4 linked regions of the Macaca mulatta genome follow. The protein of the gene in region 1 binds, or shares a complex with, the protein of each later gene. Links are inferred from orthologs where the notes say so. Each region holds a gene or a part of one and is shown on either strand. Other genes may lie near its edges.

Evidence for each region.
Region 2: the proteins of RHO (region 1) and SAG are in contact, whole or in part, in a crystal structure (PDB 4PXF), measured with the Bos taurus proteins. The link is inferred for Macaca mulatta from reciprocal best matches to the Homo sapiens genes RHO and SAG. Residues at the interface, in NP_001014890.1 of Bos taurus: Arg135, Val138, Val139, Lys141, Leu226, Glu249, Val250, Met253, Met309, Asn310, Lys311, Gln312; in XP_010802144.1 of Bos taurus: Asp71, Ile72, Met75, Gly76, Leu77.
Region 3: the proteins of RHO (region 1) and GNAT3 are in contact, whole or in part, in a crystal structure (PDB 4A4M), measured with the Bos taurus proteins. The link is inferred for Macaca mulatta from reciprocal best matches to the Homo sapiens genes RHO and GNAT3. Residues at the interface, in NP_001014890.1 of Bos taurus: Leu72, Arg135, Val138, Val139, Lys141, Thr229, Val230, Ala233, Thr242, Thr243, Lys245, Ala246, Glu249, Val250, Asn310, Lys311, Gln312; in NP_001103452.1 of Bos taurus: Ile344, Asn347, Leu348, Lys349, Asp350, Cys351, Gly352, Leu353, Phe354.
Region 4: the proteins of RHO (region 1) and GNAT1 are in contact, whole or in part, in a cryo-EM structure (PDB 6OYA), measured with the Bos taurus proteins. The link is inferred for Macaca mulatta from reciprocal best matches to the Homo sapiens genes RHO and GNAT1. Residues at the interface, in NP_001014890.1 of Bos taurus: Leu72, Arg135, Val138, Val139, Lys141, Ser144, Asn145, Phe146, Arg147, Val230, Ala233, Gln236, Gln237, Ser240, Thr242, Thr243, Lys245, Ala246, Glu249, Val250, Met253, Met257, Asn310, Lys311, Gln312; in NP_851365.1 of Bos taurus: Ala27, Arg28, Asp189, Leu190, Val312, Glu314, Tyr316, Asp333, Ala334, Asp337, Ile340, Lys341, Asn343, Leu344, Lys345, Asp346, Cys347, Gly348, Leu349, Phe350.

Annotation. Positions count from the first base shown.
Region 1 is NC_133407.1:154,400,546-154,404,588, reverse strand, and holds the start of RHO (rhodopsin), read left to right. Parts: upstream 1-1,207; 5' UTR 1,208-1,302; coding exon 1,303-1,663; intron 1,664-3,387; coding exon 3,388-3,556; intron 3,557-4,043. UniProt on the Homo sapiens protein: Photoreceptor required for image-forming vision at low light intensity. Required for photoreceptor cell viability after birth.
Region 2 is NC_133417.1:138,593,656-138,597,217, reverse strand, and holds part of SAG (S-arrestin), read right to left. Parts: intron 3,141-3,562; coding exon 3,080-3,140; intron 505-3,079; coding exon 460-504; intron 1-459. UniProt on the Homo sapiens protein: Binds to photoactivated, phosphorylated RHO and terminates RHO signaling via G-proteins by competing with G-proteins for the same binding site on RHO. May play a role in preventing light-dependent degeneration of retinal photoreceptor cells.
Region 3 is NC_133408.1:138,990,526-138,994,087, reverse strand, and holds part of GNAT3 (guanine nucleotide-binding protein G(t) subunit alpha-3), read right to left. Parts: intron 2,129-3,562; coding exon 1,987-2,128; intron 1,256-1,986; exon of another isoform or gene 1,156-1,255; intron 1-1,155. UniProt on the Homo sapiens protein: Guanine nucleotide-binding protein (G protein) alpha subunit playing a prominent role in bitter and sweet taste transduction as well as in umami (monosodium glutamate, monopotassium glutamate, and inosine monophosphate) taste transduction.
Region 4 is NC_133407.1:113,664,112-113,668,126, reverse strand, and holds the start of GNAT1 (guanine nucleotide-binding protein G(t) subunit alpha-1), read right to left. Parts: upstream 2,833-4,015; coding exon 2,727-2,832; intron 1,744-2,726; exon of another isoform or gene 1,572-1,743; intron 1,400-1,571; coding exon 1,357-1,399; intron 1,268-1,356; coding exon 1,126-1,267; intron 1,027-1,125; coding exon 869-1,026; intron 787-868; coding exon 658-786; intron 448-657; coding exon 318-447; intron 41-317; coding exon 1-40. UniProt on the Homo sapiens protein: Functions as a signal transducer for the rod photoreceptor RHO. Required for normal RHO-mediated light perception by the retina.

The sequences.
Region 1 (4,043 bases):
ACTACTTTCTTTCTCACAGTACATCCTGCTGTTCTGGAATCGGCCGTCATGGGGCCACCTGGCACATGGCATTTGAGGCCCTCGTAGCTGACCAGACCTCCCCCAACAGTGCCCTGTCTGCTGCCTCCAGGGCTGGCCTCCCTTTCAGACTGGAGTCCCCTGAGGGGCTCTGTCCCTCCCCTGCTCTGGAAGCCCCCTCCATCCTCCCTCCCTCCACTCCATCTTTGGGGCATCCGAGTCACCTTTCTACCCCAGTGATCTGCCCAAGCCACTGCCCACTTCCCTCTGGATAAAGCCAGGCTCCCTGGCGTTCAAGACCCATCACAACTGCCCCCAGCTCAGTCTTCCCCACCCAGCCACCTGGCAAACTGCTCCTTCTCTCAAAGGCCCAAACGTGGCCTCCTGGACTGCATCCCCCAGGCAGTCAGGCCCCGTCTCCACCTCACAGACACCTTGGGCGGAATCTGCTTCTTCTCATATCTGAGTCCTCCTCAGCCCCTGAGCTCCTCTGGGCAGGGCTGTTTCTTTCCATCTTTGTATTCCCAGGGGCCCACAAATAAATGTTTAATGAACGAACAAGAGAGTGAATTCCAATTCCATGCAACAATGATTGGGCTCCTGGTCCCCAGGCCATGTGTCCGGCACTGGAAATAGAAGCTGCAGGATGCAGCCCCTGCCCTCATGGAGCTCCTCCTGTCAGAGGAGTGTGGGGACTGGACGAGCCCAGAAGTAACTTGCGGGGGAATGAACAGCTTTGTAAGGGGCTGGGGGAACGAACAGGTAAGGGGCTGTGTGACGAGATGAGAGACTGGGAGAATAAACTAGAAAGTCTCTAGCTGTCCAGAAGCTCACTGTCCAGTCCAGACGAAGATCTGAAGTCAGCTCGTACTAAGCCAAGGGAAATGGCACAGACACCCACGGTCCCTATTTCAGACCAAGGCCACCAGACTGAGCTGGGACCTTGGGACAGACAAGCCATGTAGAAGTTAGGGGCCTTCTCCCTTTCCCAGGGTCCTGAGTACCTCTCCTCCCTGACCTCAGGCTTCCTCCTGGTGTCACCTTGGCCCCTCTTGGAAGCCAATTAGGCCCTCAGTTTCTGCAGCGGGATTAATATGATTATGAACACCCCCAATCTCCCAGATGCTGATTCAGCCAGGAGCTTAGGAGGGGGAGGTCACTTTATAAGGGTCTGGGGGGGTGAGAGCCCAGAGTCATCCAGCCAGAGCCCTGAGTGGCTGAGCTCAGGCCTTCGCAGCATTCTTGGGTGGGAGCAGACGCGGGGCAGCCACAAGGGCCACAGCCATGAATGGCACGGAAGGCCCTAACTTCTACGTGCCCTTCTCCAACGCGACGGGCGTGGTGCGCAGCCCCTTCGAGTACCCGCAGTACTACCTGGCCGAGCCATGGCAGTTCTCCATGCTGGCCGCCTACATGTTCCTGCTGATCGTGCTGGGCTTCCCCATCAACTTCCTCACGCTCTACGTCACTGTCCAGCACAAGAAGCTGCGCACACCTCTCAACTACATCCTGCTCAACCTAGCCGTGGCCGACCTCTTCATGGTCTTCGGTGGCTTCACCACCACCCTCTACACCTCTCTGCATGGATACTTCGTCTTCGGGCCCACAGGATGCAATGCGGAGGGCTTCTTTGCCACCCTGGGAGGTATGAGCCGGGTGCGGGTGGGGCTTGCAGGAGCCCGGGAGCATGGAGGGATCTGGGACAGTCCCGGGCTTGGCGGTAGTGGCTGAGAGGCCTTCTCCCTTCTCCTCTCCTGTCAGCGTTACCCAAGGCCCTCATATATTCATCAACAAACACCATTCATGGTGATAGCTGGGCTGCTGTTTGTGCAGGGCTGGCTCTGAACGCTACCTTGATCTTACCTGGAGCAACATGCACTTATCTAATTTCACAGCCAGAAAACTGAGCTGAGGCTCAAAGAAGTCAAGTGCCCTGCTGGGGGTCACAATGGGATGGGGGCAGAGTTGAGTTTGAAGCCTGCATCCATCTTGGGCCGTGTTGGCAACACCAAGCCTCTGTTTCCCTCGGAAAACAGGTCAGACCCAGGCTGGGCACTGAGGAGAGAGCTGGGCAAGCCAGACCCCTCCTCTCTGGGGGCCCAAGCCCAGGGTAGGAAGTGGATTCTCCATTCTCCAGTCATTGAGTCTTCCCTGTGCTGGGTAATGGGCTCGGTCCCCTTTGGCATCCTCTGCCTCCCCTCCCAGCCCCCCGTCCCCGGGTGCCCCTCTAGCCTCCATGCCGCGCTCCAAGGCTCCTGGTGTTGAGAACTGCATGCAGCCCCTCTGAAGCAGCTGCTTTTTGCTTTAGAATAATGTCTTGCATTTAACAGGAAAACAGATGGGGGTGCTGCAGGGATAACAGATCCCACTTAACAGAGGGGAAAACTGAGGCAGGGAGAAGGGAATAGACTTATTTAGGGATGTGGCCAGGCAGCAACAACAGCCTAGGTCTCCTGGCTGTGATCCAGGAATATCTCCGCTGAGATGGAGGAGATGTTAGCGGCAGCCACTGCAAAGCTGGGTGACGAGGAGAGCTTACCACCAGTCACAAGCATCACCCTGCCAGCCTTGCCCTCTCTCCCCCATGTCCAGGTTGCCTCCTCGGTCCCATTCTCAGGGAATCTCTGGCATTGTTGGGTATTTGTTACATCAAATAATCACAGATCACCCAGTTCTGGCCAGAAGGTGGTGTGCCACATACGGATGGTTGTTCTCTGCAGGGTCAGTCCCAGTTTACAATTATTGTCCCTTTCACTGTTAGGAATGTCCCAGTTTGGCTGATTAACTATATGGCCACTCTCCCTGTGGAACTTCATGGGGTGGTGAGCAGGGCAGATGTCTCAATTTCATCATTTCCTTCTTCTTCCTCTGGGCAAAGCATTGCCCATTGCTTCATGGCTCCTAGGAGAGGGCCACACTTGCCCATGTTGTTTCATCTCCCGAGAAGAGAGAGGGATGAAGGACTGCCAATTCTGGGTTTCCGCCACCTCTGCATTCCTGCCCAACAAAGAACTCTGCCCCACATTAGGATGCATTCTTCTGTTAAAAACAAAAAACCCCACAACTCCCTACCGGGTTCTCAGTCCAATCGTGACCCCCTGATCTGATTCGTGTCCCTCATGGACCCAGAGCACTAAGCAAATAACTTCCCCCATTCCCTGGAGCTTCTTTGCCCAGCCCTCCTCAGCATGTGGTCCCTCTGCCCCTTCCCACTCCTCCCAGTGCCAAGCTCTCTTCTTCCCCAAGGCCTCCTCAAGTCCCTCTCCCACTCCTGGTTGCCTTCCTAGCTACCCTCTTCCTATCTAGGGGGAGTGCACCCTCCTTAGACAGGCAGTGGGGTCTGCTGACAGCCTGCTGACTGCCTTGCAGGTGAAATCGCCCTGTGGTCCTTGGTGGTCCTGGCCATCGAACGGTACGTGGTGGTGTGTAAGCCCATGAGCAACTTCCGCTTCGGGGAGAACCATGCCATCATGGGCGTTGCCTTCACCTGGGTCATGGCGCTGGCCTGCGCCGCACCCCCCCTCTTCGGCTGGTCCAGGTAATGGCGTTGAGCAGAAGGGAAGAGGCTCTTTGTAGGGTCCTCCAGTCAGGACTCAAACCCAGTAGTGTCTGGTTCCAGGCACTGGCCTTGTATGTCTCCTGGCCCAAATGCCCACCCAGGGTAGGGGTGTAGGGCAGAAGAAATAGACTCTAATGTTGCTAAAAGCGCTGGTCCCATCTCCTGAGCTCTATGTAAAAGAGAATCCAAGACATCCCAACCCTTCACCTTGGCTGTGCCCCTAATCCTCAACTAAGCCAGGCGCAAATTCCAATCCTCTTTGGTCTAGTACCCTGGGGGCAGCCCCCTCTAACCTTGGGCCTCAGCAGCAGGGGAGGCCACACCTTCCTAGTGCTGGTGGCCATATTGTGGCCCTTGGGAACTGGGTCCCATTCAGCCTCTAGGCGATTGTCTCCAAATGGGGCTGAGATGAGACACAGTGGGGACAGTGGTTTGGACAATAGGACCGGTGACTCTGGTCCCCTGA
Region 2 (3,562 bases), on another chromosome or scaffold:
GAATTTTGCCCGTCAGCCCCAACAGTAACTGCCCCTCGCCACTGACTCGGAAGAAACACTGTCCACTCACTCTGCCCTCATTCATTCAAGGTCTGGTGTCCTCCTGAGTCCGAGGCAGCCCAGGCGCCCTCCTGAGTTTGCCCCTAGCACAGAAGTACACGATACAGGGGTTAGCACACACCGATGGGGGCCACAGACCTGGGCTCCATCTACCATCTACTTATCTGCCACCCTGGACAATGACTTTGCTGAGCGAGTGAGCTCTGGTGTCAACGGGACCTATGTCACGTGAATTAAGTACGGGAGTGTGGGTCAACGGGCCTGGCACTGGTTCCATGTGCAAGAGCACTGCCTCTGCCTTCCTGTCTCTCCTTCCACGTAAATGCCCCTTCCCAGAGCCGCCCAGAGAGCAGCCCACTCCACCCAGAAACCAGCCTGAGACAAGGGGCTTCATCTCACCTTTCTTTCCCTTCACGAGGTCAGGATCAACCAACACGACACCATCTAAGGCAAAAGAGGGAGAGAGCAGTGAGGGTGAAGAAGATCAAAGAAACCAGACACCTACTTTAAAAACTATGTATGTTTTTAATTGCACATGTAATCCATGTTCATTATAAGAAAGAAAGAAAAGTTAAGGGCAAAAAGTCATCCAAATTCCTACTACCTAAAAATACCTATTGTGAAGCTCTCGGTGCAGACTTTTATTTTATTTTTCCAGGCCAGGTGTGGTGGCTCATGCCTGTAATCCCAGCACTTTGGGAGGCCGAGGCAGGGGGACTGCTCGAGCCTAGGAGTTTGAGGGCAGCCTGAGCAACACAGTGAGATCGTTGTCTCTACAAAAAGCTTTTTAAAAAATTAGCAGCAGCCTGGGTAACAAAATGAGAGCCTGTCTTTACATAAAATTTAAAAAGTTAGCTGGGTGTGGTGGTGCATGCCTGTAGTCCCAACTACTCAGGAGGCTGAGGCAGGAGGATCCCTCGAGTCTGGGATGTCAAGTCTGCAGTGAGCCATGATCATGCCACTGGACTCCAGCCTGGGTAATAGAACCAGATCTTTTCTCAAAACATATAAAAAAGAAAAAAGAAAAAAAGTTAGCAGGGCATGGGCCAGGCATGGTGGTGCCTGCTTGTGGTCCCAGCTACGTGAGAGGCGGAGGTAGGGGGATTTCTTGAACCTGGGAGGTTGAGGCTGCAGTGAGCTGTGACCATGCTACTGCACTCCAGCCTGGGTGACAGTGAGACACTGCCCCGCACCCCCGCCCAAAAAAATTTTTCCAGACATATATAACTTAATTATATGAATGCTTTTACTAAGAAAAAAAAGATCCTATTGTACTTACTGTTCAGCTAACTGTTTTCCTCACTCAATTATACATTGAAAACATCTATTCAAACATACATACATCTATACACACACGTATATATATACACACACATATAGACAAAACGTGTGCTAAGCATTTTAATAGCTACATATTACTCCATTGAATGGATGTACCATAATTATTTAATCACTTTCTATTGTTAGGGCATCTAGGTTTTTTCCAGTTTTTCCCATTGTGATTAATATTGTGATGAACATCCTTATACATACATCTTTATATCTCTCCATGACTTTTTAAAAATAAATTATAGAATTGGATTTGGCTTTTGATAACATGCTGTCAAATAACCTTCCAGAAAGTGTTTTGCCAAGGCACATTTTCATATCCAGTGTCTGAAACTGCCAGTTTTTCTACACTCTTTAAAAAACGTTTTGTGTTGAAATGATTATAGATTCACAGGAAGTTGCAAAGATAGTACAGAGACGTCCCTCGTATCCTTCATCCAGTTTCTCCCAATGGTTCCATCTGCCATAATTACAGTACAATATCAAAACTAGGAAGCTGACGTGGGACGTTCTGAGAAACATTTTGGTTCTTTCCGGTTTGGAGTTACCACAAATAAAACTGCTGCGAACAATCATGTATAGGTTTTTGTGAGGACACAGGTTTTCATTTCTCTGAGATAAGTGCCCGGGATGCAACTGTTGGATCATATGGTAAGTACATGTTTCGTGTTTTAAGAAACTGCTGCTGGGCGCAGTGGCTCGCACCTGTAATCTCAGCACTTTGGGAGGCTGAGGCAGGCAGATCACTTGAGCTCAGGAGTTTGAGACCAGCCTGGGTAACATGGCAAAACCCTATCTCGACAAAAAATTAGCGGGGCATGGTGGCACATGCCTGTAGTCTCAGCTACTTGGGAGGCTGAGGACAGAGGATCGCTTGAGCCCGGGAGGTGGAGGTTGCAGTGAGCCAAGATCTCGCCACTACATTGAAAGTAATGGCAAAAAACTGCAATTACTTTTGCAGTAACCTAAAATATTTTAGCCATTTTGGGAGGCATATAATACACTCTCACTGTAGCTTTAATCTGTATTTCCCCGATGGCTAATGATACCAAAGATGTTTTCACGTGCTTGCTTGTCTTCGTGTATCTTCTTTGATGAAATGTCTCTTACTGTCTTTCCCCCGTTTTCTCATAGGATCTTGCTTTTTGTACTGCTGAGTTCTGAGCGTTCTTCATACATTCCAGACATGAGTCCTTTGTCTCTTCACACTCTTTAAAATTCTTTCCAGCCGGACACAGGTGGTTCAAGCCTGTAATCCCAGCACTTTGGGAGGCCGAGGCGGGTGGATTAACTGAGGTCAGGAGTTTGAGACCAGCCTGACCAACATGGTGAAACCCCATCTCTATTAAAAATACAAAATTAGCTGGGCGTGGTGATGCATGCCTGTAATCCCAGCTACTTGGGAGGCTGAGGCAGGCGAATCACTTGAACCTGGGAGGCAGAGGTTGCAGTGAGCTGAGATCGTGCCACTGCACTCCAGCCTGGCCAACAAGAACGAAACTCCATCTCAAAAAAATAAAAATAAATGTAAATAAAATTGTTCCCACTCAGCCAGTGGAAACTCACTGATGTTTTAATTTGCATTTCTTTAATTAGATTATTAGCAAGGCTGATTTTTGAAAGTACAAAGTGAGCAGTTATCTGTGACTTAAAGGAAAACCAGCATTACAATTTTCTCCAAGCAACTTACCCACAGGCTGGACTTGGCTGACATGGTCTATGTAGTCTCTCTTCCCCAGGTAGATGGTCACCTGCAAGACAAGTGGGTGTGGGTCTAATGGCCAAAGAATGCTAAGCTAAGGCATCCATGATAAAAACCAGCTGCAGCCCGGGTGCGGTGGCTCACGCCTGTAATCTCAGCACTTTGGGAGGCCAAGGCGGGCGGATCACGAGGTCAGGAGTTTGAACCTGGCCAATACGGTGAAACCCTGTCTCTACTAAAAAAAAAAAAAAAATACAAAAATTAGCTGGGCATGGTGGCATGCGCCTGTAGTCCCAGCTACTCAGGAGGCTGAGGCAGGAGAATCGCTTGAACTCGGGAGGCAGAGGTTGCAGTGAGCCAACAGCATGTCACTGCACTCCAGCCTGGGCAACAGAGTGAGACTCAGTCTCAAAAAAGAAAAAAAAAAAAGAAAAATATGCAAATGAGATGTTTGCCATTCATTTGCATATT
Region 3 (3,562 bases), on another chromosome or scaffold:
CTTCTTGCCTCACCCTCTCAAAGTGTTGAGATTATAGGCGTGAGCCACCACACCAGGTCAAAGCTCAGGTCTTTAGTGATCAGAGCATCACTGTTTCACAAACTCTGGGTCATATGAAGGATACAGTATAATTAAATAAGTAGCAATAGGCAAGGTGATTTCCAACTTCTCTGACACAAATGCATGGAATACCATATTGCATCTACAAATTTAAACATCATTAAATCATTCTCAAAGGAATTAAGAAGGTACATCTATTTTAGTGACTATTATTGCCTAAGATAAAAAGATAAAATATTTCTAATCATTAAATCCCTTAAAAGCAAAAAGCACTATAATGGAATCCAGGAGAAGTGGGTTTTGCCATGAACTCTAGCTACTTAATGTAAACCAACTAATCTTCTTTGATCCTTGTTTTTTAAATTAAGGTGGTTATACTATGTTGTCTCTTAAGAGTCAATTTAAAATCCTAGTATCTTAGAAAAAGCCAAGGTTCAGATCCATAACTGAACTACACTTAAATAAGAACATGATCACTAAGTCGTAGAGAGATAAAGAATAAAAGGATCTTGGAGTTCACCTCCTCCAAGTTCCCCTTATTTATTTATTTATTTATTTTATTATACTTTAAGTTCTAGGGTACATGTGCATAACGTGCAGGTTTGTTACATATGTATACTTGTGCCATGTTGGTGTGCTGCACCCATCAACTCGTCAGCACCCATCATAGGTGGGAACTGAACAATGAGATCACTTGGACTCGGGAAGGGGAACATCAAGTTCCCCTTTTACACATGAGTGGGAAACTGTAGCCAGAGAGATAGATTGGAGCAAACTGTGGAGAAAACTAGAAATGGGAATCAGTAAAATATCTGACTCCTCGCTTTATAAACTATCTGCCTGAAGACCATACTTAGCATTTCTTTGTTCTTTGAAGAAAAGTGACAAGAAAAAGGGGGATTTCCCCTTTCTTTACATTAAGAGCATGGAAAAGCCGCCTTTGTTTGTTTGTTTTAATTGTAATGATTTCTAGTGGTCATTTACAAGATCCAGTGGCCATTTACAAGGTCCACTAAGCTGGTTGAGGGAGTTCAAATGACTCCTCTTTCTTTATCCTTACTATGCTTTTGTTCTCTATTTTTATTGTTTCTATAGCAAGGTTTCCAAGAATTACATTGGTAGGCATTCAACTGGCATCCTCTGGAGGTAACCAGATGCCCAGCTGCTCCTGGAGGGGACATATGGAAATAGGTGAGTTCTTCTTGTGGATTCTACTCAGTTTCTCTTTTTTGGGTGGGGTCAACTATGGTTCTTTGGATAATACTATAAGTTTCATTTGCCAAATATTTTTATATATTTGCCTATAAACTTTTAAAGTAAGTGGATTTCAAATATATTTTAATATAAAATAACTATATAGCAAAATATAAAGTAGGGAGAAAATAATTTTGTTGTTACCTTACAAACAGAACTATGACTACTTGAATATACTTAATATACAACCATTTGCTTGCTCCTACAATTTGAATTCTTTTTTAAAAAACTTAGCATTATAATCATTTCCCTGTTGCCATGCAGACTTTGTAATCATCATCAAACATTAATTATAATTATTGTGTTATTATTAAACATTGTTAGTCTCTTTGAAATGACATAACTAAAAAATTAATGTAGAGATATTACAAATTGTGTTTATGCCATAAACTTTTGCATTTAGCAGTCGTAAACAATATTTTTGTTTCTTATGGTGTATTATTTGATATTAAGTTTAATCCTCAAGAAAACAACTAATGTTGAATAACAGTATACAGTAAAAAAGTTTCACTTCAAGGAAAATAAGAAATCTTACACAAAACATAATTCATGTTTCAAAATTCATGTTTCATATTTTTAAATTTTGGGTATAGATTGAACTTATTAAGTCCTCTTATTTTGTGGCTCAAACTCTATTGCAGGACATACAGCTGTCATTATTTGCATACTTACTGCACTTCTGGGATTTACATAATCAATTCCAAGGGTAGTCATGGCTTTCACAATAGCTAGGATGGATTGCAATGTATTACTGTAAATTACTGCTTTGAACTCCATGCATTCTTGCTCACTGTAACCATTCTTATGGATGATCCTATAATTTAAACATGAAAAGTTTCTGTGAGTTGAATAATTGATTGTAACACTAAAGCACATCAAAATAAGTTACTTGAATACAATTATAGTATATTTTCATTAAAAAGGAATTTTGACCATATGTATATGCTAAATCTAAACAATTTTATGCCTTTGGACTTTCATTATCATTGTCATTCATACAATATTTTCTTTCTGGGCTACCATGATAAATACAAAAGGACTTAGGATTTGTTATTTTAACATACTTTTCTGAAACGAGTAAATCATAAGCATTATACTTAGAAAGCCTGTTTTTTGTTTTTGTTTTTGTTTTTAAGAAAAAAAAATTATAGATTCTCAGGACAAAGATATATTCACAGTTTTGAAACTTGGCCTTGTGTCCACAACCTGATGTCTAGAGGAAGTTAAGTCATTTAGAACATTCATGACTTTTCCTATCATGCTGGAAAATAGGAGTGCCTTCTTTCTATTTACAGCATCAACAAAGGCATCTTTTTTAGTACAGGTAATTGCCCTGTGTTAAATCTCTTGTCAGTTCTCCATCTGTGTACGTGCCACTGAGTTATAAAAGTTGAAATGCCTGACATTTTATTTGGCTGAACTCTTCTCTACCTTCCACTCATTCAGCCAAACTCAAGATTTTACTAGAAGTTTTGGAATAATAGCTTAAAATAGATTTACCTATCAAAAGCTAAAGTCATTACATGTGCCAGTTACGTATTTTTGCATCTTTATTGTAGAATTGTTTTTGTTCCTTTCTATAATGTTTTAATTGTCTTGAAGTGCTTTGTATTCGTTAGGCGTCTTTTTGGATGTCATATTACTAAATATTTATATTGTGTCTACACGTATAAAGGCTTTAGCATAGAGGGGAAAAGAGCACAAATGCCTCTTTAATGTCTTTGAAGATATTAGAACCTTCATATACAAGAAATCTCAACTGAAAGAAGTAAAAGCAGGGCCTATATTTGTTATTTGTTGTTTTTTTTATTTGATTACAAATCATTGCTGAACTTCTATGTTAAACATGGTCATGTCTATCTTGCTGCATTGAATCATTAAATAACTTAAGTAAATAAAGTAGACAAAGACTGTAGAAAAAATGCAGTAAAATGTCTTTATGGGTAGATCAAGAATAAGTTTACTAAAGAAATCCCAGTTTTCTGTCAAATCGAACTTGGAAAATTATTTTAATTATTAAAATGGCAACTGTGAATAAACGTGGGGTACTTAGGTGTTCTTCATGAAACAAGTTCTGACTGCTATCAGAAGTGAAGAAACATTTATCACAAAGAAAAATTATAAAAACAGATGTTAAAATGTCCAGTTGAAGTGGGACTTTAAACAACATCATTTTTCTAGGAGCTGCATATATCAATTTCTGTGAGACAGAGCACTCCAACTGCAGAGTTGGTTCCTAGGTCTGTTG
Region 4 (4,015 bases), about 41 Mb from region 1:
AGATACTGTTGAACAGGTGCAGGCTCTCGTGCATGCGGTTCTGAGGAGGGCAGCAGCTGTTGGGCACCGGGGGTCGCGTCCGACCCGCAGCCCCTGCTCTCTGGGCTCCCGGGCACGTGGGGCTTCCTGTTAAGCTGGCTCTCAGAGGGCGCCCCGCACTGCCCCAGATGGGCCTGCTGAACGCCTACCGGCCTCCTCAGGCTGCCCGGGACCAGCATCCCCTCCCGGGCCCTCCCCACGCCCAGCGAGCCGTCTCCGCCTCCAGGGGCCAGCAACTCCTCCTCGCCCCTGGAACACAGGCCCTGCCTGGCACCCACCACTTCGTCGTCCTCCACCAGCACCATGTCGTAGGCGCTCAGCGCCGCGATGAAGATGATGCAGGTCACGCCCTCGAAGCAGTGGATCCACTTCTTGCGCTCCGAGCGCTGCCCGCCCACATCGAACATCCTGCGGGGCCGCGGGGGCCTGAACCCGCGCCCTGGGCCTAACAGGGAGCATCCCCTCGCCCTGTGCTGGTCGGTGAGCTCTCTGCTGGGACTACTACCCTTTCTGCTGGCGGGATATCCAGGAAGGGGCAGGGTCTATCGCAGGGATGGGGTCCCCGGGGCAGGACGGGGCCTGGGGCAGTGACCTCCCGGGCTGGCATGTGGGTCGTACCGGAAGTTGAGGTCCTTGAAGGAGAACTGCGTCTCGATGATGCCAGTGGTCTTGACTCGCGAGCGCAGCACATCCTGCTCGGTGGGCACGTAGCCCGGGGTTACCAGGCGCTCCAGGTCGGAGAGGTAGCTGCGCGAGACCGGGCCGTGGGTGGGTGGGGAGGCGTGGAGGGCCCCCTGCGCCCCGCGCCCCGCGCTGCCCACGCGCTCACTAGCCCGCCGAGTCGTTGAGCTGGTACTCCGAGGCGCGCTCAAAACAGGCCTGGATACCGGAGTCCTTCCACAGCCGCTGGATGATGTCCGACATCTCCTTGGGCATCGTGCCCTCCTCTATGGTGTCTGCCATGTGCATCAGCTTCCGGGCGTCGTCCTGGGGGCAGGGTGAGAGTGGCTGGTGGCGGCCAGGGACTCGGGCCCAGCCACGAGCCTCGAGTCCCCAGAGGCCCGCTCAGCCCGCCTCCTGGCACACCTGGCGTGCAGAGTCTCCGTACTGGATGTTGAGTGTGGTCATGGCGCGCACGATGGCCAGGATGGACTGCAACGTGTTGCCGTAGATGATGGCGATGAACTCGAGGCACTCTTCCAGCGAATACCCGTCCTGGTGGATAATCCTGAGGCCGAGGCGAGCAGGGTCAGAGCCTCGTGGGGAAGTGGGGAAGGACCCAGCCCCAGGGACCTCGGGACAGGCAGGGGCACTCACTTCATCTGCTTGACGATGGTGCTCTTCCCGGACTCACCCGCACCTGAAAGGGAAGCGGCGCCTCAGAGCTGCGCTGACCGCCTGCCCCCTCCCCCAAGGAGGCCGGGAGGACCGGGCCCTCCCGAGTTGTCAGGGTGGACCGGCAGCGAAGAGGCCTGAGCGTCAGCCCCCACCCCGTAGCCACACCTACCCACCCCGTAGCCACACCTACCCACCCCGTCCAAAGTAAGTCCTGACACCCTGAAGGCACAAGGTTTGCAAATGTCAGGAAAGTGAAGAAAGGAAGCCAACGAGGGGAATCAACGACCTCAACTGTTCTGGGACTGGGAGGCCCCAAGACACCGACACAGGCAGCCTTTATTATGCTGTGAGACTGCAATGAAGAAATCCCGAAGCGCCATCGCCACCTCGTGGGAGCCTCTGGCACCGCATGCACTGGGTTATTTGAGGCGGGTAAATCCCTTGCTTTTCACCTGAAGGGATGCGGGTGTCTCCAAGAGGCTCAGAGGGAATTAGCGCCTTTGGGTAGCAGGGAGGGCAGAGTTGACATCCTTTCTGAGCTTGCCCCTGCGAGGGCGTTGGGCACAGTTAATGAGATTTCCGGCTTAGCCTCTCTGCCTTGGGGGAAAGTGGGACTGGCTTGGTCCCTCACCCACCTCCAGCTGGTTGACCAGACTCTGGGGAGCTTGGGTGGAGCCTGCCCGGCCCTCTTGAAGCTGCTCTTTCCCCTTGAGAGGTCAGACAGTGACCTTGAGGCAGGCCTGGATCAGCCCCGTCTCTTCTCACTGCCCACGGTCTGGTGGACACGGCTTTATCTACTCCCACTGGGCCTCAGCACCTGCCAGACCCGTTGGCTGCTTTGTAGGTCTACCAGCCACAGCCCTCTGGCACCTGAGGGCCATTCTTTGTGGATCTGGGTGGTTCTAGAGACTCCCCACCCCCAGGAGGACTATGACCATCCCCTTCCCAAAGTAGCAGCCCAATAACGGGCTCCCAGTGAGGCCCCTGGCTTCTGAGCACTGCCCAGCAGGCCTACCAAACCAAAGGCTGCATGACGCTTGTGGGAGCCCAGCCACAGAAAAGTCAGCCTCACACACTCGTGCAAGAGTGTGGTTGGCACGCACTTCTGGAGGGTGGGTCACCTGAGGCAGAGCCGTCTGGAGAGGGGCTTCATGGGATGTCCAGCCTTGGGGGAATAGGACACCACCTGTCAGGCCTGGCCTTGCATGGCCAGGGCTCCCACCCTGTGCCCTACTCTGTTGCAGGCTCATATTGCTTCCCAGGGAACCCTTGCTTCACAGAAGGGCTGCCTGCCTGCCTCCAGACCAATGATCTGGTGGCAGTGGCCCCACCAGGGCCCACACCCCTACCCAGAAGCAGCAACTTCACGGTTCGAGCATCCTTCTCAGCATCCTCTTTCAGCTTCTTTTCCAGCTCCCTGGAGTGCTTCTCCTCAGCACTGGCCCCAGCCCCCATGGTCCCAGCAGCAGGTGAAGGGACAGAGTGAGCAGGTGGTTCTTCTGGATGGAGGGGATCCTCAGAACCTGGCCTCCCAGGCACCCTTCTGGCCCCAGGAGGACCTGCAATCAACTGGCTCTCTACGGACCTGTGCAGTCCCTAGTGGGGCTACTTAGTGGGATTTGGGGGCTAGGGGTGTCCAAGAGCCAATCAGAGACAAGGACAGGTGAATCCAGCTCAGCCCCCCCAACCCTTCTAATCAGGCTGGCATAGCCCCAATCCCTCAACCGCTGACTCTGCACTCCTGCTGTCCTTCTGCCCCCCTCCACCCTTCAGGAGAGGCCCTGGTGCTGCCTGGGAGTGGGTAGGATCAGGGCTGAGAAAGGGGAAGGCAGAACCTTGAGCCCTGGGGGTGAGGACGATGGAGGTGGAGCTGGCAGTGAGAGGGCATAATTGGGAGAAACATGCCTGCTGCCTGCCCAGCACCGGGCTCAGCACCACTCCTTATCTTGTTGTAAGCTCACACTGGCCCTGGAGGATAGATGCCCATGTCATCAGCCTCATTTTACTGATGAGGAAGTAGAGGCTCAAAGCGTCACACAGGAGGAAGTGGTTAAGAAGGGCTGGGTGACACTGGACTGGGATTTTATGACCTGCAGGGAATCCAGAGAGAGGGAAACAGTGGGCATTGCATTCATCCCATAATCCCATATCACAGGCTGGAGCTACCCCAAAGAGGTCCTCGGCTTCCAGCGGACTCTGGTGGGCATGCATATCTTCTCTGTGTGCCTTGGTGTATGTGTCTTTTTTTTTTTTTTGGACGGAGTCTAGCTCTGTTGCTCAGGCTGGAGTGCAGTGGCACGATATTGGCTCACGGCAAGCTCTGCCTCCCGGGTTCACGCCATTCTCCTGGCTCAGCCTCCCAAGTAGCTGGGACAACAGGCGCCCACCACCACATCGGGCTAATTTTTTGTATTTTTAGTAAAGACAGGGTTTCACCGTGTTAGCCAGGATGGTCTCGATCTCCTGACTTCATGATCCACCCGCCGTGGCCTCCCAAAGTGCTGGGATTACAGGCGTGAGCCATCGTGCCCAGCATTTTTTTTTTTTTTTTTTTTAAGACGGAGTCTCGCTCTGTCACCCAGGCTGGAGTGCAGCGGCCGGATCTCAGCTCACTGCAAGCTCCGCCTCCCGGGTTTAC